Linked DNA regions of Caenorhabditis elegans. The protein of the gene in region 1 interacts with the protein of each later gene in a biochemical or structural test. Each region holds a gene or a part of one and is shown in the gene's direction. Other genes may lie near its edges. The genes, in order: rbx-1, ubc-22, ubc-13 and let-70.

What was found.
Region 2: of the proteins of rbx-1 (region 1) and ubc-22, one has a biochemical effect on the other in vitro, tested with the Caenorhabditis elegans proteins (one study listed by BioGRID).
Region 3: of the proteins of rbx-1 (region 1) and ubc-13, one has a biochemical effect on the other in vitro, tested with the Caenorhabditis elegans proteins (one study listed by BioGRID).
Region 4: of the proteins of rbx-1 (region 1) and let-70, one has a biochemical effect on the other in vitro, tested with the Caenorhabditis elegans proteins (one study listed by BioGRID).

What each region holds. Positions count from the first base shown.
Region 1 is NC_003283.11:9,687,108-9,693,714, reverse strand, and holds rbx-1 (RING-box protein 1), read left to right. Parts: upstream 1-3,192; 5' UTR 3,193-3,194; coding exon 3,195-3,269; intron 3,270-3,319; coding exon 3,320-3,526; intron 3,527-3,711; coding exon 3,712-3,762; 3' UTR 3,763-4,029; downstream 4,030-6,607. Other genes in the region: ZK287.7 (RNA_ligase domain-containing protein), read right to left, coding at 1-60, 117-646; ztf-9 (C2H2-type domain-containing protein), read left to right, coding at 1,579-1,688, 1,738-1,825, 1,884-2,115, 2,164-2,567. UniProt on the Caenorhabditis elegans protein: Component of the SCF (SKP1-CUL1-F-box protein) E3 ubiquitin ligase complex, which mediates the ubiquitination and subsequent proteasomal degradation of target proteins.
Region 2 is NC_003284.9:8,865,627-8,873,059, reverse strand, and holds ubc-22 (UBiquitin Conjugating enzyme), read left to right. Parts: upstream 1-3,897; 5' UTR 3,898-3,929; coding exon 3,930-4,025; intron 4,026-4,158; coding exon 4,159-4,254; intron 4,255-4,300; coding exon 4,301-4,377; intron 4,378-4,427; coding exon 4,428-4,506; intron 4,507-4,944; coding exon 4,945-5,052; intron 5,053-5,149; coding exon 5,150-5,242; 3' UTR 5,243-5,457; downstream 5,458-7,433. Other genes in the region: ubc-21 (Ubiquitin-conjugating enzyme E2 21), read right to left, coding at 1,231-1,302, 1,356-1,460, 1,761-1,887, 1,928-2,010, 2,056-2,151, 3,274-3,435; ins-9 (INSulin related), read left to right, coding at 6,420-6,687, 6,734-6,822.
Region 3 is NC_003282.8:2,920,586-2,929,442, reverse strand, and holds ubc-13 (Ubiquitin-conjugating enzyme E2 13), read left to right. Parts: upstream 1-3,751; 5' UTR 3,752-3,752; coding exon 3,753-4,032; intron 4,033-5,071; coding exon 5,072-5,239; intron 5,240-6,412; coding exon 6,413-6,420; 3' UTR 6,421-6,852; downstream 6,853-8,857. Other genes in the region: manf-1 (Mesencephalic astrocyte-derived neurotrophic factor homolog), read left to right, coding at 1,025-1,094, 1,157-1,281, 1,354-1,498, 1,566-1,732; fbxc-45 (F-box C protein), read left to right, coding at 7,214-7,281, 7,327-7,462, 7,671-8,282.
Region 4 is NC_003282.8:11,077,086-11,083,914, reverse strand, and holds let-70 (Ubiquitin-conjugating enzyme E2 2), read left to right. Parts: upstream 1-1,661; 5' UTR 1,662-1,707; coding exon 1,708-1,731; intron 1,732-1,779; coding exon 1,780-1,953; intron 1,954-2,000; coding exon 2,001-2,106; intron 2,107-2,151; coding exon 2,152-2,245; intron 2,246-2,291; coding exon 2,292-2,337; 3' UTR 2,338-2,829; downstream 2,830-6,829. Other genes in the region: klc-1 (Kinesin light chain), read right to left, coding at 144-180; atg-7 (Ubiquitin-like modifier-activating enzyme ATG7), read left to right, coding at 2,865-2,991, 3,041-3,207, 3,254-3,406, 3,457-3,987, 4,031-4,624, 4,677-4,847, 4,897-5,097; Y5F2A.4 (C2H2-type domain-containing protein), read left to right, coding at 5,339-5,388, 5,437-5,536, 5,592-5,816, 5,868-5,969, 6,015-6,140, 6,824-6,829. UniProt on the Caenorhabditis elegans protein: Catalyzes the covalent attachment of ubiquitin to other proteins. Mediates the selective degradation of short-lived and abnormal proteins. Plays a role in the DNA damage response.

The sequences.
Region 1 (6,607 bases):
AACGTGGCAAATCCAGTTATGACTCCACTGCTCTTTTCAGGTCTTCCAATTGTGATTGCTCTGAACTTTAAAATAATAAATACTAAAATTAAACTTTAGAAATTGATAAAACTTACAAGGCATTATACATAAAAGGGGGTTCGACATTTGAAGAAGTGCTTCTGATACATTCTTTCAGAATATTGGAATCCTTTTCATTACATGGAAGAACAATTGCACCAGATAAGTATCGTTTTAAGCCTGTACAGAAACTGAGCTGAGGCTCACGGAGCAACTTTCTCAAATCTTTGATACAATCGGAAATTGTTACTCCCATTTGTTCTTGAGTCCTTGCTTTGATTGTACCAGCCCATTTTTCAGTTTTTCTCTCATCTCGAACACTATTCCCAAATACTCCACCATTTTCTTGAAGTTGTCCAACACATGACAATCCATATGGCTTTTCCAACACTACAAATCGACCTGGAGCGTGAGCCAAAACCTTTTTCGATAGGTATCGAGCCAGCTGATTGGGATTTGAAAACGTGGCAGGAGTCAGAGCTTTCTGAACTTTTGGATTTAGTGGAGCCGGTGCAGACTCCAAAGAAGTTGAAGACGCTGTATTACTTGTGAATCGACATGTCGATATTCGTCGCAGTGTGTTCATTTTTCTCTGAAAAATCTTGATTATTTTTTAATTATCAAAATAAAATATAAACCGAGTCTGTAAAATTATAAGACGAAAGGTTTCAGATAAGCTTTAGAATTTTTTACCAAATTAATTATCAGAAAGCGAGAAATTCTTGCTAGGAAAAAATGGTATCTTAATTTTACAAGATTTTGGCATACTTTCTTAAAGGCGCATGGATTGATTTGGACTGGTCTCGATGCGCAAAAAAGTTTATGGTAGCTTCGGCTGCTTTATCGTTTATTTCCCTTACATTTTCCAATGGAAGTACTCTGTTTAAAGCGAATTTCGTGTTTAAAAAAAATGCATATTCCTTAAGAATTGGTTTTAAATAAGTTTTCTAAACAAAAATTTCAACAAAAAAGAGACTGCCATGCATGGTCATGGTATTTGTACCATCAACTTTTTATCTCAAAATTAATTATTTTTCACAAAAATCTGACTCATATCTGTTCTCTCACGTTTTCATTTTTCCAACAGTTTTTCCCACTTTTCTTCCGCCCATCCCGCTCCTTTTTCTTTTTTTCCTATCGCCACAAAAACACACACACACACACAGCAGAGAGAAAGAGATAGGAAGAAGACGAGTCGTCGCATTTTTGTCCTCTCTCTTTCCCTTTCTCTCTCCGTTTCAATGTAGCGCGAACCGAGCGATGAGAAGAAGAAAAAAGAAGAAAGAGGAGAAGAAAGGAAGGAGAAAGGAGGAAGAGACTGGCCATTGCCCGCCCGGCCTTCTTCTCCTCCTCACACACACAAAACCACCCCCTTCTCTCCATTTTCCTTCCTTCTTCTTCTCACCATTCTTTTCCTTTTTCCACGCGTCTTCAGTTGATTTCGAACACATTTTGTTAACCGTTCGCTTCTAAATCTATATTACTAAATTTGCAGAATATATTTATTACATTCAAAAAATGAACCGACTACTGGGATGTCTAGATTGCGTTCAAACTGAGGCCTACAACACACTGGAAGATCTCGAAGCACACATTGCTAGTGATCATCTTAACATATGCCCATATGAGTAAGTCTTTAACTTTTAATATGTGGTGAACGTAGCTTTACTATTTTAGATGCGAAAAATGTAAGTACGCTAAGTTTCCAACGGAATTCGCCCTTGTCAGTCACTGTATGAATGATCATGGACTCACCGAATTTTCTGTAAGTCTCCAATGTTGAGAGACGCAGAAAAAAAATTCAACAATAATTTAAATTGCAGATAAAATATCGCTACACACCGGAGTTGAGTATGAAAAAGAAGGAACTGACCCAAAAGCTCGAACGGTGCATTGCAATGAGTCGATCTATGCGGATTGAAGGGAAAATCAGCGATGCGGTGTCAAGCACAGTGGAGAACAGAGTCAAAGTCGAAAACTCAGAAGCAACTGGCACACCTATTCAGTCATCTTCTCCTGTTGTCTTCGTAGATAATGCTTATCATGCCTTTCTAGGTAAACTTACACATAATAATGATTCCCACTCATTTGGATTTAATTCAGACGAAACTCTGGCACGTCACGAAGAAGAACGTGGAGCCGGTCCTTCATTCGAGGGAGCATCTGATGGCGGTGGTCCGATCAAGCCGAAGCAACAAATTCAATGTTCTCTTTGTGGAGACGTTGTTTCCAAACAAAGATCAAGCATGGTGTATCATGCAAATACGCGTCACGGAAAATATGAGCTCTACGAGTGCGGAATCTGTCACAGAAAATGGCAGACAATTGCAAAATCTGATGTGATCAAGCACATAAAAAGCCATCACGAGAGACCCGACGGAACCATCGACTGCGACATGGTTATTGACTATCGAAAAAATCTAGGAAACAAGCTGAAAGAAATTACTGAAAAATGTTTTCCGGAGCGAAAGAAAAAGAGAATTGGATACACGGATTTGCCAGAATAAATATCTTGAAACGATTTAAAAGTTGTTTTCTCATCGTCCCAATTGTTAGAATTACTGTTAAAATACTAACTGATACGGTTTATTTTTGTTAAATACAATTTTTCTTTTTAACCTGTTCTTCTTTGTTCGTTTCGGCAAGAAATAAGACGCGACGAGTAAATTTTAAAAAGAAAGCGAAAGCGTGAAGACAGAAAATAGGTGAGTACGGTGTACGCAAATGCGCGTAGCGTCTGGTGTGTGCAGACAAGCGTTTTTGATGATTCTTTCGAAAGAATTTCGGCAGTGTTGCTCAGTCTGATTTCATTTTATTTATTTTACAACAGCGTATCTCCTTTTTCAATACATATTAGCAATAATGTCAAGTCCTTCATGTTTCCTCATTTTCTATCGGCGGCTTTGTACAACAATGTTGTATTAGGTTCGTGAATCACTTGTTCTAGGGTACAATTTTTCATAAAATCTGATACAACAATTTTATCAATCATATCCTCTATTTAGTTTAGGCTTATAGTATTATAGTATGCATAAACATGTTCAATATTAAGTATTTCATTATATCATCAATGCTACTTTTGCGCTCTTATTTTGAAATGATTACTGTTATTCTCATTTGTATTTTTTCCAGAAATGGCCCAAGCAAGCGACAGCACAGCTATGGAGGTCGAGGAGGCCACAAATCAGACAGTTAAGAAGCGTTTCGAGGTAACACAGATACAATGTTACATGCTTTAACAAACATAGTGCAATTTAAGGTCAAGAAATGGAGTGCCGTCGCACTTTGGGCCTGGGACATTCAGGTCGACAACTGCGCTATTTGCCGCAATCACATCATGGATCTGTGCATCGAGTGCCAAGCGAATCAAGCAGCCGGGCTCAAGGATGAGTGTACCGTTGCATGGGGAAACTGTAATCACGCTTTCCACTTCCATTGCATTTCTCGTTGGCTGAAGACACGACAGGTAGGTTGCTTTTAAACGTGCTTATTTTTGAAAAAATGATATTTATTCAAATGTCAAAGCGGAACAGAAGCCTGCCGCATGCATTTTTGTTAAACAACTTTTGAAAATTTAATTTTTTTCAATTACTAAGTACTCGTAACTAGCATTTCAAAAAGCTTACACATTTTCTAATTCTATCTTTTCAGGTATGCCCATTGGACAATCGTGAGTGGGAATTCCAAAAGTACGGACACTAATCGATCTTCATTCTTCTGCCAACCGCCCGGGCAGTTTCTTCACACTTTTTTACTTGTATTCACTGATTTTTCTTCTATTTCCTTTTGTGAATATGTATTCGTCCCAAAAAAAAGCACATTAAAATCCAGACGTGTTAGTCTCTATGTGATCTGACACTTTTCATTTGTTTATTCAAATCTCCAATCCCTTCTGACCTTCTAAAATCATCCTTCCTCGCTTGAATATTTAATTTTTCTCCGCTAAAAATATAAATATGAACTGTGTCCTCTGGTCTCATAATTCTCAACGAGACAATTCTCGTGCCGTTTATGTGCTTAGGCTGTTTAGGTTCAGGTTGCGGGCACCGTTCAAGCCGCCGGAGCAAAAGGAGGAGGTCTCGTCTCGCGTAATTTATTTGCAATTCGGCTAAAACGTTCAAAACCGAATTGCAGCACATTTCTCGCCGCTTCTTCGTATTCCTTTCCGTAATAATTGATTATTACGATTGCTTGTTCGTTTCTGTGCCAAAGTTTTTTTTAAATTTTGGATACTGATTTTTGTAGAGTTCTCTCATTAATATAGACCAAGATAATTTTCTGCTTTTAAAACTGTCTACAAACGTTTATTGTTCAATAATCGACGTTGCTAAATTGCGGATATTCTTAACTTCATGAAAAGTGAAGTATCACTTTAAAGGCGCACACTACTTCTCTTGGCTGGGTCCTGCCACGATTTCAGATACAGTAGTTCCTCCGAATGCCAAATTGCACAAAATTGTTCATACATATTTAGAAGTGTTGAAGTTCACAAAGTAGGGCAAAACTCAATGAAAATTATACACATCGGTTTATTTTTTTTAATATAACTGCCACTCGAAAATTTAATTCCCAATACTTCTAGACTGTTTTTTTTTCATTCTGAAGTAACTTAAAACGTTTCTTTAAAAACGAGGTATATTCAGGCCGCTATTGGGCTTTGGGCTTACTTAAACTATATAGTTTATAATCACCTGATATCTCACCGCGATCACACCGTAACCTACCGTACTCTCCAACTTAGCTACATATTTATATATTTTCTGTTATCATCGAAGTGATCAGATCAAACACCAATAGGTCAAAATTTACACCACGGGGATCAGTTACTGTCTGCGAGAAGATTTAATTGGTTTTGCGAGTTGTAACTCGAGATTCTCATGTCGGAACAAGCAAACCGACTCCCCTACCCAATACAGTGTATGTTTGTTGAACGTGTTCCTCGATCCACTCCCCGATTTGGAAATCCCATTTTTTATATCCGAACCGTCCGAATCTGTATTGTAGTGTGGGAATGTAAGACACAAGGCAGCAGTAGAAAACAAGAGTTTGAGAGAAAAAAGAATAGGTGGAGCTGCAGGTAGACCCGATTTTTATTGAACAACTTTTTGATGGAATCCGCTGAATTTCAATTGAAGCCACTTATCCATTCGTTTTTGTTGCAAAATCTCAGTTTCTTTTTTATTTTCTTTCATTTCCAGGAAGCCAAATTCGATCTGGCAATGATTCAAAGATGATTCTAGTCCTTGGATTTCAATTTTTAGTGAACATTGCTCACTCCTTACAGGTTGGTAAAATATCCTTATTATTTAAAAATCTATTATATCTGCAAAATCGCATATCAAATATCAATTGAGGTGAAATGGAAGATATAAATATTTTCACATTTATGATACTGGATGATTAAAATACCCAACGCTGATCAGCTTGTTAAAACTCGGTGCTCGAATTCTAAAGTTTTTGTCTAAATAGTTAAATCATAAACTTTTGTTGTTGCTATTACTTTCACGCCTCTTGTGAGTCTCTCAATTTTAAAGGAAATTGTTACTTATAAATCGACACAGGCTCTCCTCTTTTGTCTTTAAACATGAGTGAGGCTTGAAGCCTGCTTTTATGACTTTCAAATTTTCAGAGCGCATTGTTTTTTTTAATCACTAACGAAACAACCGGATAAATTCGTTTCAAAACAATTTATTAGGTTTTTAGATTACAAGTTTCAGTTTGTGGCAGATATGTGTTAAAATGTTCGTGTTTCATTCTGCAGAATAGTTTTAAAATTATATCTGCCCAAGAATTTGGTAGTTAAAATAAGAAGTTTCAAGATGAGTTTTAAATTATGAAACATACTGATAAAACAATTATTGCTCTTAGTTCTTTAAATTTTATTTAACCGAAATATTTTTCCGATTGACAAACCCGTCACAACTTCCGCCTACGCTTCTAGAATATCGAATAACTTTGGTCAACTATTCCATGTAAAAGTACATCCACCCCCTTCCCAGGATCGTTCACTGCGTGGGCAGCATAGAATTGACAATGGTGTATTTGGTAAGATTTTCTGATTTATTTAATTTGATGAAATTATATGAACATTGTGAAAAAGTCAAATAATCAAGCCAGTAAAGTTCTTCTGAGTTTTATCACCCCAAAACGTTAAACCAAAAATTTATCAAGCATTGATCCAACATCCCAATTTTGGGTCAAATTGTTTGGTTTGATCTACAAGTATTTATTCTCTAAAATTCAGAAAAGATTTAGCGAGAACGCTGCAAAAACTATGAAATCTTAGATCATTGAAAAACTTTTCAGATTGTAAAATACTGGTCATGTAATAGCAATAACATTCGTTCCTTTTATTTTTAAAACCATTTTGGATAAATACCAGTAATACTTCGACTTCCCGCTTTCTCAACAGGACCAATTACAGTTATTTTTTGTTTTAAACGTCAACTGTTCACTTGATCCCTCTACTATTACAACAAAAAAAGGAAATATCTGCTTCGTTTATCTAAAGTTTCAAATTGAGCTCATCCACCTGTTTATCCCAACA
Region 2 (7,433 bases), on another chromosome or scaffold:
CATATGTTTTATGTGACCGTAAATGATCTCAAATCATCAATGAGCAATATTTTGCTCATTTTCTTTTTTTTTATGTTTTCGTTTCCGTGTTGTCGACAACTATTGGAAAATAAAACTGTAAATTGATAACTTATTTCAGAAACTGTAAAAACAATTAAACATAATAATTACTTTTTCGTTTAAAATTGGATTTAACCAAATTCAATATTTTTTCAGTTACAGAAAACCTTGATTTTCATCATTTACTGGCAACAAATTACCAACAAAATAATTTGGATTTAATTTTTAAAAAAATTGTATTGTGGTCTTCTGTTGTACGAAATATAGACGCATACAATAAATACGAGGAGTATAGTTTTGCATCGCGAAGCTAGATATCCGTCCGCTGCTGCTGTTAAAAACTAAACAAAAAGTAATATTTTTTATACGTCGTAGACTTGAAGAAAAGTTCAAAGAGAAAAGCGGTGAATGACGCGCTAGGAAATGTGCATTTAAGCCAGAAAAAATTGACTAAAAGATCTAAATAAAAGGTTCACCCGGGGTGATAGAAAACTTACGATCATGAAAAAATGAAACCGGATGAAAATTGCTGCATAAAAAAAAGAAAAGTGGTGATTCTCGAATAATTGTTAAACAACTTCTTTCTAGCAAAAAATAACGTTTCCATAAAAAACAAAAGCATAAGAAAGAGTGTATACGGATTTAAAAAGCGAGAAGAGTTTGTGAGTATTTTGCTTAAATCGTCTAAAACAGGCCCACAACGGCCAAAATTCATACTGACACTTCTAAAAAAAATTCCAAACATTTTTATGGCGGTTCAAATTTTTGTAACAAATGAGCCACGTTTTGCTAAAATCTGAAATTTCGCTCTCATTTTATACCAATAAACATCCAAAAACGATCAAAAAATGGATAACAATCGTCTTAAAATGTGTCTCAGACAACGATTTCACGCGAGATAAACTACCAACATAGGTATTAGAGGGCGAAAATTTCATAAAACTATATTCCAGCTGCTACGACAGAGAACAGTTGGCGAAATTTTTGATTTTAGCAAAATTTGGCTCATTTATTTCGAAATTTTGACAAAAAAATAAATTCGGAAAATTCTGTGAGAAGTAGTCTCTTTATGAAATATAATCGTTTTGAGACAGGTTTAGTAAAATTGAGCAAAATACCCACAAATTCTATTACCTCTTTAATGAATCTGGACAAAAAATGTGGTGGTTCCTAGTCAAAAATAAATTGAAGAGCTTGCTCAAGTTTCCAATTGTTGCAGCTGAGGTAGACAATTGCTTCAGTCTAAAAATTACAAACTTAAGCTTCCTAGAAAATTTGTCATTTGAAAATTTTACCTCTCTGATTCCCATCTCTATGAGACGCCCGACTTTTCTATTGAAATCAGGTTCAACATCTTTCTTAGAGTTTGCGAAGTAAGAAGTCCAGTAGACAGCGGTCGCCTGAAACGAAATTTTGAAATCATGAGTTTTTTCCAGATTCTTGGATGCATTTTTTTAGCAACTCACTTTTAATTTTGCATCTGAAACCTCGAAATTAATTTTTCAACTCCATTTACATTGACGTATGTAGTATATTATTTTCTAACTTTTTAAAAAAACTACATATCGTTATTAAAAAGTTAACTCCGTTATTCCAGTTCAACGAATATCAGTGTATGTGACAAATTTCGGTTTGCTTTACAGATTATGTATGTCTGTATCAAAGCTCAAAAAACATTTTCTATTAAAAAAAATTTCTACCGTAAACATTGGATAATTATTGATAAACTGTTTGGCAACCACTGCATCTTGAGGGTCCGATGGTTCAGGAGAACAGAGCATGGCCTGAAGTGATAGAAGAACTGTCCGAAGTGTAAGACTTGCAGTCCTTAAACCCATTTGTTAACTAGAAACATGTAAAAACCAACCATTTATCCTTGAGTATGTCCAAACAAATGGTTCCAGTTTGTGAGCTGATGTTTGGATGCCAGATTCGTGTAACAAATTTTGCCTGTATATACTCAAATGCGCGAATGTGAAATATAATTTCGGTAACCTTTGGCGGCTCAAACGGATAATGTTCAGGAATATCGACTTTTATTTCAAAAGTACCTCCGGCGTAAGGTGTGCCCTCTGGACCCTTGATGAATCCCTGAAGTAATGGTGTTTTGGTGTAAATACAGATATGTTTAATTAGACGATTTTCTGAATAGTTGATAGACGCAATTCAATAAAAATTTGGCCATAGTCTGGAGTGATATGTATTTTTAAATAAAACAACGGGTACATTTTGAAGCAAAGTCATCAATGATATTTTCATAAAAACTGGAAAAAAACGTTTTTGATGCCGTTCGTTTTAGGACATATTAAATTGAAACTTTTTAGTAGTATGTAATCTACACATGTTTTATTCACATACACGGTAGTTCTTCTGAGGTTCGGTCAGGAGTTGATAAATCAAAAACTTTTCTAGAAGTATTTGGCAAGCAGAAGTCACAACCAAGACTGGCTCCGCAAATTTCTTTACAGCTAAAAAGTTCGCCAATATCACCAAAAAATAACGAAACACTTAAAATTTTTCAAATGGAAAACATGTTACTTTTATAACTTCAGAATGATAAAAACAGCTGCACTATATATACCTAGTTTCAAGTGACACTTTTCAGAAAAGAAATCAAGTTTTAAAAATTATGAATTGTTCAGTTGGCGACAGGCTCAAAAGATTTTTATTTTCATTTTTGGGACAAAAGTGTTGTAAAAACTTGTTAAATTCTTTTTTTCCTGTGAAGTACCACTTTTTTTTAGTTGAAAGTTTTCAGTTTGAAGACAAAGTGTGCACAAATTTTAATATTTACGAATAGGTAACACCCGTTTAATTTTTTCCAAATACACAATCAACAAATTTGGCATTGAATGCACTGCTCATTTACTTCTAATGGGTAATTTTTATTAAAAATGATGTATTTCAAATACCACTTATTATTTTTTTTCAAAATGTCACAGTGCTAAATGTCTCAGGATCATGGCCTTTATAAATCTGATTGCTCACTACTATCGCGCGCCACATTAATCCATGTATTCTTCTTTCTATGTCTGAGTGTCTCGCGCTTTTCCTCTCTCACAATGGGCCCCCTCTTTCCAAAGGTCCATGAATAAAAAGACACCTGTTTGCGCAACAGCGAAACTTATTGATTATAGTGAATGACATTGGGCGCCACGCCTAAAACTTATTTTATGCTTAAAATGTGTGCTTTTCGGGTTCTGTTTCTCTTACTTTGATATCCATTAAATTGTTCTCCTTTATTTCGACATGAATTCCCGCTTCCGTGATATCAGAAGCATTTGCCACCTCTTTACACTTCCGTGTGACCCGTGCCAATGCGAGATTTGACATTTTATCTGAAAATTGCATTTTATTCAATTTCGATACGCTCATATTTGAAAAATGTAATAAAAAATCTCATTGGCACTTAATCGTACATAGTGTTTTTCAAGGTCCACTTAAACTCAAAAAAGGACGAAAAAAAGCTCATTTGCATTCTACTATAACACGTGCATTGGAGGCGGAGTGTCGTTGCCCATATCTTGGTGCACATTCTTCTTTTTTCCTTACATCTCCTTCTTTCTTTTTCCCCTCTTACTATTAGTCATTTCACCCGCCAAATTCAAGTCTTTTTTATCTTGCACACGCGACACCAAGAATTCTGTGGAAAGAGTGGGAAGAGACGAAAGATGAAAAAAAAGGGCTAGTTTTCTTTTTTTTTCTCTTGTTTGCCACTCCAACTATTTTTGTTTTCACATCGATACCCTCATTAATTCAAAACTTTTGTCGGTTTTTGTGCACATATCCAGTTGATTCGAATGCAATGACAGAAAATATCTTGAGCGACAGTGATATTTTCAGAATTGTGGCAACAAAAACATCGAGCAATGAATGAAAACCAAAAAAGGTTTCTTGACGATATGGAAATTGCTCAACAATTGTACATTATAGAGATGGTGAACGAAGAGGATAAAAAAATAACGGTATATTCGACAGAAAACTATGAGAACTCGCTTTTTAAAGTATTTAAATGTGAATCACTAAATCAGTTTTTTTTTTTAAGTTTTAAAAGATGTGAAAAACTTAAATAATATCCAACTTTGTTTCCATTGTCAGTTTCACATCGCTGGACCCGCTGACACTCCTTATGAGACAGGTGTATTTGAGGTGGACCTCACATTCCCAGACAACTATCCTAATGCGCTCCCACAAGTATGTCAAATTACAAATATGTATACCCCTTTCATTTTTATTCCAGATCAAGTTCCAAACTCTCATTTGGAACTGTGCGGTAGAGCCAAGCACTGGGCAAGTTCACATCGAAAATTACTCACGGTACGCTGTCATTTTATTAACTGCAATTTTTGTTCTTTATTTCTTTTAAGACTCAATGTTTCGGAGGCACTGTCTTATATTGAAGATTTATTTCGATCAATCGAGGTAGACGAGGAGGTCATGTTCTATGTTAGTTTTAAATGTAAACAACGTGGCATTTTCTTTCTAAAAACTTAAGCATTTGACTATTAAAACTGTTTCACTTTAGATGGTTTTTAGATTTGCAAATAGTGTTAGGTTTCCAGGATTTTACATGATATTTGAAGGCTGCAGAAATTTATTGAAATTTTTTCTTCCATAGTTTAATCTATTCGACATTTGATTCCTCAGTATATTTTTCAACTGGGCACCTTTCAATTTTAATTTAAAAAAAAGTCTGTGCAATTAAAGCACACAACATTCCTGATTTTCCAATCAATTATTTGTCGAAATGAAAAAGTAACGTGACATCAAAATATTTGGCATCTCATGTCTAAATTTTTGAAAAAAGTTGAGAATTTGAAGCCCACATACTGAACATCAACACATTCACAACTTATGTAAATTGTTAATATTTCGAATTTTCAGAAAACTGCAAGATTTTGGACAACAGAATTTGCTGGAGGACGCCCGCTCCCAGACGATGACTGGCAGAAGAAAAAAGTCGATTCTCTGATTGAAATGGGATTTTCTAGAGTAAGAAATCAAACAATGTTTAATTTTTTTTAATTTTTATAAGTAATTTGAGCTCATGCATGGAATGACCAACACATTATTTAAATACTGTTTTTAGCTGGAATCAATTCTTGCTCTGGGTGGTAGTGACTGGAATCTAGCAGATGCAGCTGAACAACTTTTGGAAGGCGACGAGCAGGCACAAGAATAAACGTTTTGTACCAATTTGTCTTTTTTATACCATATTCAATATTTTATTGATGTTTATTGTATATTGTCAATAATTTTTTAAATACTCCATTCAAACAGTTGTAGCTCAAAGGCCAAATGTGTGCTGGTAATTATGTTGAGTTTTGTCGTAGTACTTTATTTGCTTATGTGCTTGTTCTGAATTCTGAGTGATAAATTACGTCGATGAATTCTAATCTTACTAATGAAGTAAAACAACTTACGCGAAGACGTTTTCTCATTAATTAAATCAGGTAAAACAATTGCTGAATAAAAATCTATATATCGAAAAATACTAATCGCTGAATACATTTTTTAAGTGAAGTGAATTTTGAAATCATAATTGAAGTTTTTGCTGATTTATCAGTTTTAGAGTCTAGATACAGTATGAGACTTTAAATTAACAATCTCGACAGATTCGAAAAGTGCCAGAATAGGGCTATTAAATAAGATATTACCGCTTGCTAGATGCACTGTATGCAAAAATAACTATGTTTTCCCAAAAAAAAAACACTCTAATATAATATAAGCATCCTAAAGTTCCGGATTGCAGTTTGCCGAACAGTTTTCGAACTTTCATTTTTGGCGACAGCTGAAGCTGACCAAACTTTTGCACTTGCCAACTCTGGTAATTGTCGAGTGCCAAAAATTCATTTACCGCACAGCTCTGATCTTCAGGAGTTAAACGTGGTCACTGATTCCCGTGCTTACTATTTGACATTAAAATTCCCAGATTCACTACCCTTATTACCAATAACTTTCTTTTAACTGATAAAGCCCTTTGCATTTAAACGCCTCATCATTAAGTTGGTGATTTTGTTTTGAAAAGTCTTTTTTTTCTATGCACTTTTATCCACTTTGTTACTTCTCTGATGTAACACTCACACGTAACATGTTGTTTTTTAAAGTGCAAAGTTAAAAAGTTCATTTTTTGAAAAAAAGTTACAATTATTTAGTCAAAATCTCTTAAACCCCACGATTACATTATACATTGAATCTTTCTGACTTGTAGTCTCTCGATGAGAAAAATTGCTATTTTTAACGAATACAGAAAACATTTGAAATTTCAAAAAAATGTCCCGCCCCAAATGTTGTTACTATAAAAGTGTGAATTCTGATAGTTACAATATCCTGGCTCAAATAATTCGAGGAGTGAAACGATGATCGTCACTTTGATTGTCTTTCTTGTCATTGGACTTCAAATGGCACACCTTTCTCAAGTATCTGGAAACAACGAAAATGGATTCTTAAATCCATTTGATTTGTCTCAATGGAGCGAAGAAATCCTCCACCGTCAGTATCATCATCACCACCACCATCACCATGGAAATCGGGCGAGAAGAACCTTGGAAACCGAAAAAATCTACCGCTGTGGAAGAAAACTCTACACTGATGTGCTATCAGCGTGCAACGGGCCATGTGAACCGGGTAAGTATCGTTTGTTCCTAAAATCAAAATCGATAAATATTTTTAGGTACGGAACAGGATCTCTCTAAGCTGTGCTGTGGAAACCAATGTACTTTCGTTGAAATCAGGAAAGCATGCTGTGCCGACAAATTGTAACCAGGAACCAACAATCGTCTTCTCAATTGGATCTTCTATAAATATGTCTTTCTTTCTTATTCACCATTTTCTTTATATTTATTTTTTCAAATCATAAAACATACGCAAACTTATTTTTAAAATAAACATTTTCGGTTCAGGTTAAATAATTTATACTGATATTTTATTGATATGCTTTCTGATTAAAAATACTGAAAAATTTTTAACGTAAGTCTACTGTAACTAATGAAAAAATAACGTTTTAGTATGTTCGAAAAACCTGGGATCATGTTTTTGGAACAACTTGTCCCTACGAGCCATCTGACAGTTGACAGCCTACTACCTAATACTAATTTTGATGCATAGCCAATCATTTTCAAACTATTAGTGTTTGATTAAGTGGCTTAATGGTCAAACTTACCCAAATAGTACTGTTATTTTTTTAGCGTTATTTGCTCACTATGAAAATAGAGAATTCTGCACAAACAGGCTCTTTTCAGATTTCATGACCCCAGTAACTGTAGGGTTTGTTTTTTTAATACAGTCATTCTGGTTGATTTCTTCTCATGTACTTTTTGAAGATGCCCTTTTAAACTCTCCAAATACAACTCATTTTTGTTCTGATCAAAACT
Region 3 (8,857 bases), on another chromosome or scaffold:
TTAGAAAAAAAACTCACAACTTTTCTTCGACTGAAAAAAAACTGTTAAACTAACCTCAATGTTCCGATATTAGTTTTGCGATGACGTGGCATTAAATATAATAAAAATGTGGAATTTGTTAAAAACTAAAAATTTCACGTAAATAGAACCGAGTTTATCAAGAAAGTTCACGAATATGTTCTGTTGAAAAACTTAGTTTTAACCGTAAAAATTCCAGGTTTTTATCAAGATGTGCCTATTAATAGAATATATTGTGTTCCCAACGCGAACTGTGCAAATTTTCAGACTACAGTACCCCTCTACAGTAGTAGTTTTGAATTCGAAATCGCTTTTTCTTCTTTTTAGTGTTTTCAAATCGAATTTTCTTGTAATTCTTGGATTTTTTGGTTCTGGAAATTCTGGAAAACCCCCTGAAAATGGTACAAAACCTATAATACAAGAAGAAAGTATTTTGATCGATGCACCATGACCCGATCTCCACGGGAACCGCCAAATCGACTTTAAAATCCCTTCCACGCGAGACCTGAATTTCGTTCTGGACCAAGAAAAGATTTTTTAAAAAATCTGATTTTCAAACATTTTTATTTTAAATTTTGCGAACCTGTAAAAAGTGAAGTTTTATGCAAATTTTCATGTTTCCCGCGATCTTTAATGCTAATTTTAGTTGGAAAATACGATTTTCTAACTATTTTTGAGGTTTTCTCAATGGAAAATATCGTTTTTCACTGCGAATCAGCCCGAATAAATTACAAAATTAATTCCAAAAGTCAACGTTAACGCTGACGTCCACATCGAGAAACGCGCCAAGGAGAGTGCTGACGCGCCCGCGGTGCGCGCAAACACGTCAGCTTATTTTCTCGAATTGCGTTCGCTTTTTCTCTATTTTCTCTCCGTTTTTTCCGCTTTCTTTTGTCTTTTTATTCTATTTTTCTGCATAATTTGTTGGTTTTTTTTTTCAGTTTTCCCGCTATTTACACTCTCAGAGCCCTGAAAACCCCGTAATAATCCCTGTTTTTTCCAGCAGATGAGCCGACTCGTCCTTCTCATCTCCCTGGTGATTGTCGTCGCCTCGGCTGCTGCTCCACAATGTGAAGGTTTGTAAATTTGAGAAAGCTTAATTACTTAATTATCTAATAAAAAATCGCGAAATTTTCAGTCTGCAAAAAGGTTCTGGACGATGTGATGGCAAAAGTGCCGGCCGGCGACAAATCCAAGCCAGATGCCATCGGAAAAGTGATCAGAGAGCATTGTGAGACCACTCGCAACAAGGAGAACAAATTTGTAGGGGATTTAAAGATTTAAATGATTTAATCTAATTTTCCTTTAAAATTTTTAATTTTTATCCATTTTCAGTGCTTCTACATCGGCGCACTCCCAGAATCGGCCACTTCCATCATGAACGAGGTCACCAAGCCGCTCAGTTGGTCGATGCCAACGGAAAAAGTCTGTTTGGAGAAGCTCAAGGGCAAGGATGCTCAGATTTGTGAGCTTAAATACGGTTCGTTTGGCGCATAATCTCGCTTTTAATCAAAAAAAAAAAATAAATAAATCCCCAAATTTCACAGACAAGCCACTCGACTGGAAGACGATCGATTTGAAGAAAATGCGCGTGAAAGAGCTGAAAAACATTCTCGGCGAGTGGGGAGAGGTGTGCAAGGGATGCACCGAGAAGGCCGAGCTCATCAAGCGCATCGAGGAGCTTAAGCCGAAATATGTCAAAGAAGAGCTGTGATTTTTTTTTCATGCCGTTCTACATGTGATAATCGTGTTTTTAGCGTGTGTGTTTTTATTGCAATTTTACTTGTTGAAATCTATTTTTTATTAATAATAATTTATTTATTGATTTCCCCCCCCCCCCTTAATTTTTTCGTGTTTCATCATCATCTTCCTCCCACTGGTCTGGTCAAATGAAGCTTTTTTCCCTGATTTTCCCTCAGTTTGCCAATTTTTCGGTTCTAATCCGGTTTTTAATAATTTATTTTACCTTTTTTCTAGGTTTTCCAGGAAATAAATCAGTTTAAAAATGTGATTTTCGAAGATTTACGGTCGAAAACTGGCATTTTTAGGCTGAAAATATCGATTTTCACCTTAAAAACCTCCAAAAACCAATTTTATCGATTTCGAAACGTTATTATTGATGGAAAATACGTAAAAATGGAAAATAATACCCATTTTCAGCTTTTTCAACGCCGAAAAATCAATTTTCGGCGATATTTTCTACTAAAATTACCGAAAAATGTGATTTTTCCGCAAAAATATGCGATTTCATAACAGTTTTCGTTGGGAAATGCACAGAAATCCAATTTTTCTAAAAATTTCGCAAAGGAATTGATTTTTTACTTAAATTACCGTTAAATTTATACATTTTTAGTATAAAAATTAAGATTTCGCGTGGATAACGAGAATTTACAGCGTTTTTTTGCTGAAAATATCGATTTTCTCGAATTTAGCGTTTTCAAAATGCTCAAAACGTCGAAAATTCAGTTTTTGGCATTATTTTTGATGGAAAATACGTCAAAAATGCCAATTTTCACTCTGAAATGCACATAAATCCTATTTTTTCGAAATTTCACTGTTGAATTGATTTTTTCACTCAAACTACCGGTGAATTTACATATTTTCAGATGAAAAACTGAAAGCTCCCGTAGAAAACGCGTCTTTTTCAACATTTTGGTGCTGAAAATATCGATTTTCCGCAAAAATAACGAATTCGTAATGCCAAAAACGTCAAAAATACACATTTTTGCGTTTATTTTTGATTAAAATTACTCCAAAATGTCAGTTTTCTGCAAAAATATGCGATTTCATCACTGTTTTCCATGGAAACTGCACAAAAATCCAATTTTGCCATTATTTTGCACCGAAATCGATTTTTTTCTCCAAAAAAATTATTCGAAATCGTGAAAAGCGAGCGTTTTTTAATGTTGGAAATCACAAAAAACCCAATTTTATCGATTTTTGGCCGACGTTTACGTTGAAAACTCGAGGAAAACAGTTTTTTAATTGAAAAATTCATAGTTTCCCGCAGAAAATTAGATATTTTAACTTTTTGTACTAAAAAAAATGGCATTTTTCCGATATTTCGAGAAAAACTTCGATTTTTAATTAAAAAACCTTGAATTATTAGTCTTTTTTCTTTTATTTCAGCCAAAATTTATACATTTATACATTTTTTTCTTCAGTTTTCACCATTTTGCACTCAAAAATCCGTCTAATTGTTGAATTTTTAACAGAAAAACAGTTTTTCGCTGGGAAAAGCTCTAAAATCACTCAAAAACCATCAAATTTATTCCACTTTTCCATGGAAACTGCACAAAAATCCAATTTTGCTATTATTTTGCACCAAAATCGATTTTTTTTTCCAAAAAAATTATTCCAAATCGCTAAAAACGAGCATTTTTTTGGTTGGAAATGCCAAAAACACAATTTTATCGATTTTTGGCCGATGTTTACGTTGAAAATTCGAGGAAAACAGTTTTTTAAAGTAAAAATTCATAGTTTCCCCTAGGAAATTAGATATTTTAACTTTTTTTTTGCGGAAAATGGCCCTTTTCCGATATTTCGAGAAAAAACTTTGATTTTTAATTAAAAAACCTTGAATTATTAGTCTTTTTTCTTTTATTTCAGCCAAAATTTATACATTTATATATATTTTTTTATTCAGTTTTCACCATTTTGCACTCAAAAATCCGTTTTTCTAATAGAAAAATCAGCTTAAAAGCCCCAAAACACACAATAAAATTTCTTGCAGAATGGCCGGGCAACTTCCGCGTCGAATCATCAAAGAGACACAACGACTTCTCGCGGATCCGGTTCCCGGAATATCGGCAAATCCAGACGAGAGCAACGCCAGATACTTCCATGTCATGATAGCCGGGCCAGACGATTCTCCATTTGCTGGTGGTGTCTTCAAGTTGGAGCTTTTCCTTCCGGAAGAGTATCCGATGGCTGCACCGAAAGTTCGATTCATGACAAAGATCTATCATCCGAATATTGATAAACTCGGCAGAATTTGTCTCGATATTCTCAAGGGTGAATAGATTTTCCCCTTTTTTTGAAAAATTAGTGAAAAAATTTTTTAAAAAACGGTTTTTAGCGTTTTAATCAATTATTTTTAGAGAATTTTCTGAATTTTCATCGAAATTTGCTATTTTTACACTGTTTTAACACAAATTTATTGATAAAATTCAGAAATCTAGCTTTTTTGGATATTTTTACTTGAAATTTTTCGAAAAACAGCCCATTTTCAACAATATTCACGAGTTTAGATGAATTTTTTGTATTTTTTAATATTTAAATCAAATTTAGCTCTTTTTGAGCGTATAAATCCGAATTTCATGCTCATTTTTCGCATAATGAGAAAATAATCCAAAAAATATGAATTTTTACGCATTTTAATGGGAAAAATGGATCAAAAACAGCTTATTTTGAGCGTTTTTTGACAAAATAGACGAAATTTCGAGAAAAATCGTGTTTTTTTTTGTTCTAATAAATATATTTAGGTGCATTCGAATGCGAATTTCTCGAAATTTAATTTTAAAAAACCCTCTTTTTGTGAAATTTTTTTCAAAGAAACTGCGAAAATGTATCATTTTTGCGCATTTTTAACCAAATTTCATCGAAAATCTCGGAAAACGGCGTTTTTTTGGCAATTTTTATTCAAAATTGCGAAAATTTCGGCGAACCCCCAGTTTTCGAGGGACATTTTCAATTTATGATCGAAATTAGCTATTTTTAATCATTCTAAAGCGAATTTCTTGTTAAAATTGCTGAAAAATCTGATTTTTTAGTAATTTCAATGGAGAGATAGTAAAATTCGATTTTTAATTACAAATTTCGTGTAATTTCTTCGAAAACTTCTTTATTTTTGCGCATTTTTTCCAATTTTTATCGAAAAATTACTCCAAAAGAAAGCATTTCGATAGATATATCTCATTTTTTGCGCATTTTAATCAAATTATCCATAGAAAAGTTCAATTTTTCGGCTATTTTAATGCGAATTATCTCGAAAAACTGCTCATTTTGAGCTTTTTCACATGAATTTCTCGAAAAAAAATGCCCAATTTTTCAGATAAATGGTCGCCGGCTCTTCAAATTCGCACGGTTCTTCTGTCGATTCAGGCTCTTCTTTCGGCTCCAAATCCGGAAGATCCACTGGCAACTGATGTCGCCGAGCAATGGAAAACGAATGAGGCCGAGGCGATTAAGACTGCAAAACAATGGACGATGAACTATGCTCGTCAGTAATATATCTAGGGTCTCGCCACGAAATCGATGAAAATTTGCAATTCTTTTGAAGCCAAAATCGAAAATTCGACCTCATGTCGATTTACGCCGATCGTGTACTCCCCGAGGAGAAGTTGGAATGATTTTTATACAGTTTTTGACCTTTTTAACATTAAAACTATCAAAAAATGGCTCGTAAATCCGATTTCCAGCCGAAAACTGCTTTTACGCCACTAAAAATATCGATTTTCACGGAAAACACTGTAATTTACGGCTAAATTTGCTATATTTAAGTAAAATTTCAGGAAAAGTCGACGAAAACGGCGAAAAACAATACTTTTAGCGCAATTATGGAGCCAAAATCGAAAAATCGAACTAAAAATCCCTGAAATTGGCGCATGTCGATTTACGTCAACTCGTGTACTCCCCGAGGAGAAGTGGGGGTGAAAAAAACGGGTTTTAAGGTGAAAATTATTGATTTTGGCCTATTTTTTCTAATTTGAACGTTTAAATCATCAATTTTTGCTCGGAATTATAGCTTTTTTGATAAATTTTTATTTTCGAATTTTTTTTAGTTTTTCAACCTTTAAAAAATCGAAAATAAAAATTTATCAGAAACACTATAATTTAGACCTAAATTGGTGATTTAAAGATTCAAATCAGGAAAAAATAGGCCAACATCAACAATTTTCGCCTCAAAATCCATGTGCTTCACCCCTCTTCTCCGCGGGGAGTACACGAGCTGCGTAAATCGACATGTGCCAATTTCGGAGGTTTCTAGTTCGATTTTTCGATTTTTGCTCCAAAATTGCGCTAAAATGATTGATTTTGGACCGTTTTCGCATCGACTTTTCCACAAATTTTACATAACTATAACAACTTTAGCGCTAAATTCCAGTTTTTCAGTGAAAATCGAAGTATTTAGTGTCTTAAAAGCAGTTTTCAGCTGGAAATTGAATTTATGAGCCATTTTTTTGGTAGTTTTAATGTTAAAAAACTGTATAAAAATCATTCCCACTTCTCCTCGAGGAGTACACGGGCTGCGTAAATCGACCCTTCGAATTTTCGATTTCGGCTCTGAAAACAGTAGATTTTCCTAGTTTTCGCTGTGGGACCCAACAATAAATATGCATTTTAATAAATTTTTTTTAACAATTTAAAAAATAAATTAATAATTTTTTTTCAGAAGCCTGATCGTCTCCGAAGCTCGCCTCTAGAACAACTACAAAAAATCACATCAAACAAAAAAAAATTCGAAATTCTCTCAGCCTGCTCTTTGTCCCGCCTTTTCCCGCCCCCTTACGAACTTCCAATAAATTGTATGAATTGCATAAAAATCTCGATTTTCCCCATCTTCTACTATATATCTAAATATTGATTTTTTTTGTCCCCGCCCGGTTTTTTGTCTCGAAATTCTACAATTTCCTCCCCATCCCATTGAATTTTTTAAAAAATTTTTTTGTCTCTGTTGTCTCACGATCCTCATCAAACCGTCGTCGTCCATTTAATTTAAATTCTTCTTTTTTTCTCCCAGTTTCCAGAAAATCTTCTTCCATCGAAATTGATTTTTTTTTCTCTTTTGGAAATTTTGATGATTTTTTGAATAAAGTCGTTATTTTTTTTGAGAATTTTTGAGAAATTTTTGAAGGCATTTCCAGCAGTAGCCTGATGGTTTTCAACCGGAAAAAATGCAAGAATAAATAGAAGAATAAATAGTAGATATTGTGATAGAAATTTTAAAAACTGGAAACTGCCTGAATCGCCGATTGCCGAAAGTGAGAAATGCCGAAAAAATGCACGCTGATATTACTGTAAATTTAAAGGGACACACAGTATCTTGTTGCATGGGTTTCATCGCGATGTGTTCAACTGTAGCTTTTTGATTTTTCTTTCGATTTTTCGAATTTTAACTGTGTTTTTTCATGTTTTTCTTGCGAAATTTGAAGCAATTACCGATAAAAAATTTTTAATTCAGATTTCTGCAAACATGGACTCGAAGCCACTCACCTATCTATCCATGCAGTGCATTATCAAACACTTGGAGGCGAATAAAAGGTGAGACAAACAGTTTCTGTAATTAACTAAATACATAATTCTCAGATTCCGACTGGCCGCACAATGCCCATCTCTTGTAAAGATCGAAAAATCGCAACCTCTGATTATCAAGAAGCTGGAATTCAATCGTAGTACAATCTCTGTCAATGGAGTGAAATACAAACTTGGTGCTAGGAACAATGTATGAATTTTTGCCATTCTAGACGAGGGTGTCGGTTTTAAGTATTTTACTAAATTCTTTTGAAAATAAAAACGAAAAATTCGTTTTTTTTTCTCAAATCGAAAATTTTTCGCCATTTTAAATCTAATAATGATAACTTTTTGGTTTTTTTCTCACTAAAATCGATAACTATTCTAGAGAACGGATATTTCAATGAATACATTTTCAGTTCGAAGCCCCACACACTCTGACGAGAGCGCAACTCAATGGACGACATCCGCAGATCCATGTTAAATGGTTGAATCTTCCAGATGAAGACTGTGTACCTGAGCTGCCGGAATCCTTCAAGAAGTTCATGGTTCAATATGTACGGAATTGGTCGTCGCTTACCGATCGATTAATCGATCCAAAGAGCACGCCATTGCTCATTTATCTCTCTGGAGGTCACAATTTGGATTTGCTGGATGTGATTAATCGACACGAAATCTTGAGAACTTGCGATGGATTGATGCTTTATATTGTTCCTCGTGAGCTCTTCCATGACATCGGAGCACTACCCAACTCTTTGATCGAATTTACTATTGAAGGTGTTGAAGTTTTCGATTTCCTCATTTTGATTGACGCTTTGCTCCACCCAGACCGTGAAATTGAAACAGAGCGTATCTTCATCACTGAAGATGCCGATTTGGTCGCGAATTTATTCAAAGCATTCACTTTACTGGCAGAAGGAAACGATCTTGCGATGTTTCAATATGAATTGTGTGGAATATTTGGAGATGAGTGCGATGAATTCCCACAAATTTTCATTCTGGATCAACGATACGGTCACTATACGGATACGGTAACTGCTGCTGTCACTCCTCTTCTTCCCTTGTTTTTACCCTTTTGAGGCCCTGATTGGGGGTTTTCCATGTCAGCTAATCTTGCCTTCTTGTACATTTCTCCATCACCATGCTGCCAACCATAAACACTGACCATTCCCGCGTAGACCCATGTCTCGTCACAAGATCCAATATAGTACTTCTTCACATCTAATTCTTCTTTAATTTTCAGATAAATATTTCTGTTCTTCACAATATCTAGCCTTTCGTCAACGATGGTGTTGTGATTCTTCTTTCTGTACACAAATCCCAAACCACGCATCACAAATCTCAAACTTGTAGATCCTCTGTTCCACTGAATATTCGATTCTGCCCAACTCTGCAAGGATTCAATAACCACGTCTTTCCCATCACACCAGAGCCCATGGATGTACTTTGTGAGCTGAAGCCGTTTCACCAAAGAAAGTTTTGAAACTTCCTTTCGATACCGTTCCTTCTTGCTCATTTCACAAATACGTTTCCTTGGTTGCTGGCTTCGTTCCGGGGTGCGACGTTTCACAGTGTCTCTATGAATTCCACAAAATTGAGCAGTTGC
Region 4 (6,829 bases), on another chromosome or scaffold:
GGTAGCACGAGATCCAGCAGCCTGACAATCGGCGGGTTTTCGAACAACTGTTTTCAAGTTTGCACAACAATTTCTCGTAATTTAATGTGAATTTTCGATTATTTTAATGTTTTCTAAAAAATTTTTGTTGTTTTTATTAATACCTTCAACGTAATATGGGATAGACAAGCAGTATGCCATTTAAAAATATTTTTTGATTGGAAGAGCTTTCCATATCTCTTGGCGCCATTTCGAACGCGGCAAAATACAGATTGTGAAACAAGGGCGGTCCATCATTCTTACTCATTTTCTTCTAATTTCTTCAGTTTCTTTTCAGTTCGTTTGCGATGTTCCTTATTTTTCTTCCTGCTCCAACTTCTGTAGTTCGTTCTGTTGTACTTGTTTCCAATTTTTTAAAGGTTTTCCTCGCTGAATTCGTATTTTAAAAATAACTTCAACTCCACATGTGAGTAGTGATTAGGGAATTTAGTGCTCGATCAATAATTTGAACAACATTTTTGCAAAACTTATTTCTCAAAATTAAAGTCACTTCCGAAGTATGATTTGGCCTATTTTATACCTCTTTGTTTTCGTTGTCCCACGTGACTCATATAGCACGAAATAAGAAAACACACTCAAGTTCATTCGTCCTAAAATTTTATAAATTCCGCGTTCAAATTTCAGTCATCTAGTAACCATCAGAAAAGTGCAAGTTCACTCACGTCCACACTGAATTGAATCAGTGGAATCACATGATCAACTGCTTCTCTCACTCTCTCGCTTTGTCATTAGATATCTCTACCTCTCTGCGTTTCGTGTCTAAGTGCTTATAGTTTCACTTCTCTCCGCTTTCAATCCCCATTGCGATGCGACTGCAGCATTGCAGTGAGTGTGATGGTCGTCTCAAGACCCATGGCGCTGCGTATCGATCGTTGCCTCGTACCCTCTTACGTTTCCTGTGTTATTTCTGTCTCTGTCGTTCTGACACTTCAGCGCTCACCCCGTCGCTCATTTTCACTCACAGACAGCACACATTCTCACTCACTCGCAGCCTATGGCCATTTCTTCCTTCCTCACCATCTCGTGAGGCGACAAGTCGCGTGTCTTTAGTCGATTTCAGAGTGATTATCTGGAAATCATTTGTTTCAATCAGAAAATAATACGTACATGCCGAATAGTTTTTTAAAAAACTAACCAGACAATTTGTGATACGTCTTGAATTTTAATTTTTGCCCAGTCTCGATTCATTGTGAAGAAAATTTTACAAGATTTGAATCGCTTGCTTTTTGTGCGTAATATTCCAGTCCATTTCTTTTAAGCGTTAAAATTTTTTTCGAGTGTCACTGGCTTGTAGCCGTAAAAATGTGTCATATTTGTCATCATTTCTCATCGTTAGTTATTTTATTAGGAAATTTCCGAAATTTATGTTATTTTGGTTTTCAAATTTATATCTGTTCTATTTTTCCTCATTTTTCGCTTTCTAGAATGTTCCACTAGTTTCGAAATGTGACGTAACAGTTCACCACGAAGGGCAAACTGAGTACTTTGTACCGCCTCTAAATATCGATTTTTCGCCGCGCCGCGCCGTACTCTTTATGTTATTTCATGCGAAAATCCTCACTTTCAATTTTTCCCTATAGCAGAAGCTCAATTTCACCGTATTTATCGAAATTTATTTTCAGAGTACTCCGGGTGTAGCCGGGTCAATCAGCAAATCAGAACACCAACATGGCTCTCAAAAGAATCCAGAAGGTAAGGTTTCAACACTTAACAACAATAAAATTATTATGTACGTTTCAGGAACTCCAAGATCTCGGCCGTGATCCACCCGCACAATGCTCCGCTGGACCAGTTGGTGATGATTTGTTCCATTGGCAAGCTACGATTATGGGCCCACCAGAGTCTCCCTATCAGGGAGGTGTCTTCTTCCTCACTATCCACTTCCCAACAGACTATCCATTCAAACCACCAAAGGTATTGATCGAAATTGGAAAAAAATAAATTTAATTTGTTTTCTTCAGGTTGCCTTCACCACTCGAATTTATCATCCGAACATCAATTCAAACGGAAGCATCTGCCTTGACATTCTCCGTTCGCAGTGGTCGCCGGCTCTGACCATTTCGAAAGGTTGATATTATCATTATTGTTCGCGTTCTAACTTTTAATTTTCAGTTCTGCTTTCGATCTGCTCGCTGCTCTGTGATCCAAATCCGGATGATCCACTTGTGCCAGAGATTGCACGCATCTACAAGACGGATCGTGAAAGGTGAATTTAGATTTTCTTTTAACTACTAAAAATAATCGATTTTCAGGTACAATCAATTGGCGAGAGAATGGACGCAAAAGTACGCTATGTGAGGAGGCTAACACCATTCATACAAGAACGCAGCCAAACCAATCAATAAACCATGTGTTTCTTTTCCCTCTCTGTGTCTCCCATTCATCTCCAAACCCTTTCCATCTTATTCAATCCACACCAAACCCCGGCGATTCCTCTTTTGTACTATAAATTGTGTTCTCTTTTTATCGATTTTGTTCTCCCCCACACATTATTCTCCTTCAAAAAATACCCACTTTCATATTATTTTCTGTCGTCAGCAAAGCGATGTAAAATATATATGGTCTTTTATATTTCTTCCTTATAATTCAAAAGTAAATCGAACGGTGTAGATTGATCCCCTCAATTCTCTCTCATCCCCTTTAAACTATTTTGTCTCCAAATCTCCCTCCTCCCTTCCTCTGATTTTTCTCGAGAAATTGAAAAAGGATTTCTTCCAAACCACCACACATTCGTTCTTCGTTTATTTCATCTGGCGGTCTGAGAATCCTGAATAAATTACTGAAGAGCGTCTATTATTCTCGACATTGTTTTTCTTTCAGAATCGATGGCCACGTTTGTTCCCTTTGTTACTTGTCTTGATACAGGTTTTTGGAACGAAGTGAACAAGAAAAAGCTCAATGATTGGAAACTCGATGAGACGCCAAAGTGTATCTCAAGTCAATTATCGCTTCGTAAGAATTGCCTATATCCGTATCAGATGATTTTTAATTTAAATTACAGATCAAACCGAAGGTTTTAAATGTCATCTATCCTTAAGTTACGACAGTTTGAGCAGTTTGGAGAGCACAACTGGATTGTCAATGTCCGGTACCCTTCTTCTGTACAATACAATTGAAAGTTTCAAGATGGTTGACAAAAGTGATTTGATAAGAAGTGAAGCAGAAAAGGTAGAATAACTTTCGTATAGTTAATCAAAATCGTCAGCAATTTCAGATCTGGGAATCTATCACAACTCGAAAATGGCTCCAAAATCCTCGTCTTCTGTCGCAATTCTTCATCATCGCTTTTGCTGATTTGAAAAAATTCAAATATTATTATTGGACATGTGTTCCTGCTTTGGTATATCCTAGTGAAATAAAACAAGAGGTTGAAAAATCTTTAAAAGTCTTTGAAGTTCGTAAATTCTTCGGTTTCAGATCACACCACTATCATCTCTCGGAGCCGATCACAAGATCCTGTTCGACTTTTATAGGAAAAACAATTTTCCGATCTTCCTATACTCCAAACAATCTTCAAAAATGCTCGAACTGTCAGAATTGGAAAACAACACAAATCCTGACGAAATATGTGTTGTTGTCGCTGATCCTTCTCCTGTTGCGTATTCTGCAGGATGGATGGTTCGCAACGTTCTTGCCGCAGTGGCACATCTTCATCCTACGTGGAAGCATTGTCATATCATCAGTCTTCGTTCAGCTGACAGTATCGGAATAAAATACACATGGACCTTGCCGAGTGCTGAATGCTCAGCAGATGGAGCTCAGAATGCTGTTCCAAAAGCTGTGGGATGGGAAAGAAATGCAAATGATAAGTTGCAGCCGATTTCAGTAGACTTAAGTAAAGAGTTCGATCCAAAAATATTAATGGAAAGATCTGTGGATCTTAATTTATCATTAATCAAATGGAGATTGCACCCAGATATTCAATTGGAAAGATACTCACAGCTGAAGGTATATATTTAAATTTTAAATTTTATATTTTGTCATATTCCAGGTTCTCATTCTTGGTGCTGGAACGCTTGGATGTAACATTGCCCGTTGTCTTATCGGATGGGGAGTTCGTCACATTTCGTTTCTTGATAATTCAACTGTCAGCTACAATAACCCCGTTCGCCAGAGTCTCTCAGAATTTGAAGATGCACGCCTGGGTCGTGGAAAAGCCGAAACAGCACAAGCTGCTATCCAACGCATTTTCCCATCGATTCAAGCAACTGCTCATCGTCTCACTGTTCCAATGCCTGGACATTCTATCGATGAAAAAGATGTACCAGAGCTGGAAAAAGATATTGCAAAATTGGAGCAACTTGTGAAAGATCATGATGTTGTTTTCCTAGCATTAGATTCAAGGGAAGCTCGCTGGCTTCCAACAGTTTTGGCTAGTAGACATAAGAAGATTGCAATTAGTGTCGCGATTGGATTCGATACCTACGTCATCATTCGGCATGGAATTGGTTCTAGAAGCGAAAGTGTTTCAGATGTTTCATCATCAGATTCCGTACCATACTCTCAGCTTTCTTGCTATTTCTGCAGTGATGTAACTGCTCCAGGAAATTCTACTTTCGATAGAACATTGGACCAACAGTGCACTGTGAGTTTTTGAACTTCCACACCTCTATTTCAAAACGGATGCTTTCTTTCAGGTTGCACGACCAGGAACATCTATGATTGCATCTGGAATTGCCGTTGAACTCTTATCGTCTGTTTTACAATACCCTGATCCACTCAAGACACCAGCCAGCCACGACGATAATACAACAGTCCTTGGAGCTGCTCCACATCAAATTCGCGGTTTTCTGGGAAGATTCCAGCAGGTATAATAATTGTGTTCTATTTGCTTTAACTTCGTTAATTTTATTTTAGATTCTTCCTTCTGTAAAACGATTCGATCAATGTGTTGCTTGTGGAGACGCTATCGCTGCACAGTTTCAGCAAAATGGCTGGAAGTTTGTTCGCGACGTTATGAACTCGCCAGGTCGTCTCGAAGAAGTCACCGGGCTCGACGAGCTTCAGAACTCTGTTAATGCTATTGATATCGATTTTGAGGATGATGAAGATTTCTGAATTGGTCGCCTCAAATTTTTACCTTTTCTGTATAATTGACTGTGCATTGACTGTACTCTGACACAATTTTTCATTCTCGTGATTCTATTTTGCCTCCAAATTTTAATAATACTTGTATCAATAAATTTTGGGTAAATTCTATTAAAACCTTCTACTGAAAGTTAGCATGAAAGCACTAAATGATTTATCTCGTTTTATAAATAAGATGTATTTTCAATAATTTATCTAATTTGAGCCGGCAATGGCACGACACAAATGTCAAGACTGCGGGAAAACGTTTGATTTAAAACGGTAAGAAAAGCCTGAAAATATATTTTAATCTTCTATGATGAATTTCAGATATCTAACAAAACATGAATTACGAATGCATAAAAATGTTGTGAAATCGAAGAATGACAGAAGCGCTTCAGATCCACTGAAATGTAGTATGTGTGATAAAGTATGGAAATAATTCTTCATTAAAAGTTATCCAATAAAATATCCAATAATTTCAGGTATTTCCACGTCTTTCTCATCTTCAGCGTCATCAAATGACACATCTTAATGTCAGAAATTATTCATGTACATTTTGTGAAGAGAAGTTCGTACAAAAATCACATTTAACTCGCCACGTCTCTCGAAAGCATTCGAATGCTCCTGGAGTAGAAGTTGACTGGACAGCGTGTGACAAATGTGGGCAATTATTCAAGACTACTTATGAAATGAGAATTCATCGACAGGTACCTTCTATTCAACACGGATGAAACAAGTTTAAAATACCTACTTTACAGACATATCACGAACTTCACAAATGTAAACAATGCCAAGAAGTAATAGAAGCAGGAAGTGATGGTTTACGGAAACATCATATGCAATGTAGAAAATACTCAAATGTTAGTTACAGGTTTTTTTTTCAAAAAATATTTAAACACTTTCAGGTTTGTGATGAGTGTGGAGCATCTTTTTCTCGGCCTGCAGACTTGGTTTCCCATGAGACTTCTTGTCTTAAAAAGTTCGCATTTGTCTGCAAACCATGTGATTCATACTTTCGACAAAGAGTTCAGGTAATTTCTTAAAGTTGGTAATTTCTTAAAATTTGGGATTTTGTTCATTAAAAATCTAAGATAGTCCTACGTTCCGAATAGCCACAACAGAAAAACGAAAAAAAATGCATTAAATTAATTTAATGCATTGATAAATTACCAAAAAAAGCCATTTGATTTTGGCGAATTTTCAATTTTGGCTAAATAGTTATTTGAATTTTCGTGCTTTTGTCTCGAAATCCGCCAATTTTACCGTACCCAATAAGAAAAAATTTTCATGCAAAACCTTCAGGTAAAAGAAGCTTTTGTATTAAACGAACACATCTTTTTTTTACACAAAAAATGAATATCTTCACATTTGTTGAATTCTTTTGTGAGAATGTTTGTTTCTTGGTAAATTTATGTATTTTAAGAATAAACTGAATGTTTTCATGCATTCCAAATTGTTTCTCTTGAACTTCAAACTTTCAAGAAAAACGGAAAAATACAAATAATAATCCGGAATTGAAAAAATCGAAACGCGGCACGGAAAAATGGGCGGAGTTTCAAGACAAAAACGCGGAAATTCAAATAATGAGGTTTACAAAAATTGAACATTCTCCAAAATCAACTGTATTTTTTCAAACTCAATGCATTTTTTTCGTTTTATTTTGTGTTATTTCTGAATTTGAGTCTATTTTGAATTTTGAAACAATTTATTTCAGCTGGAT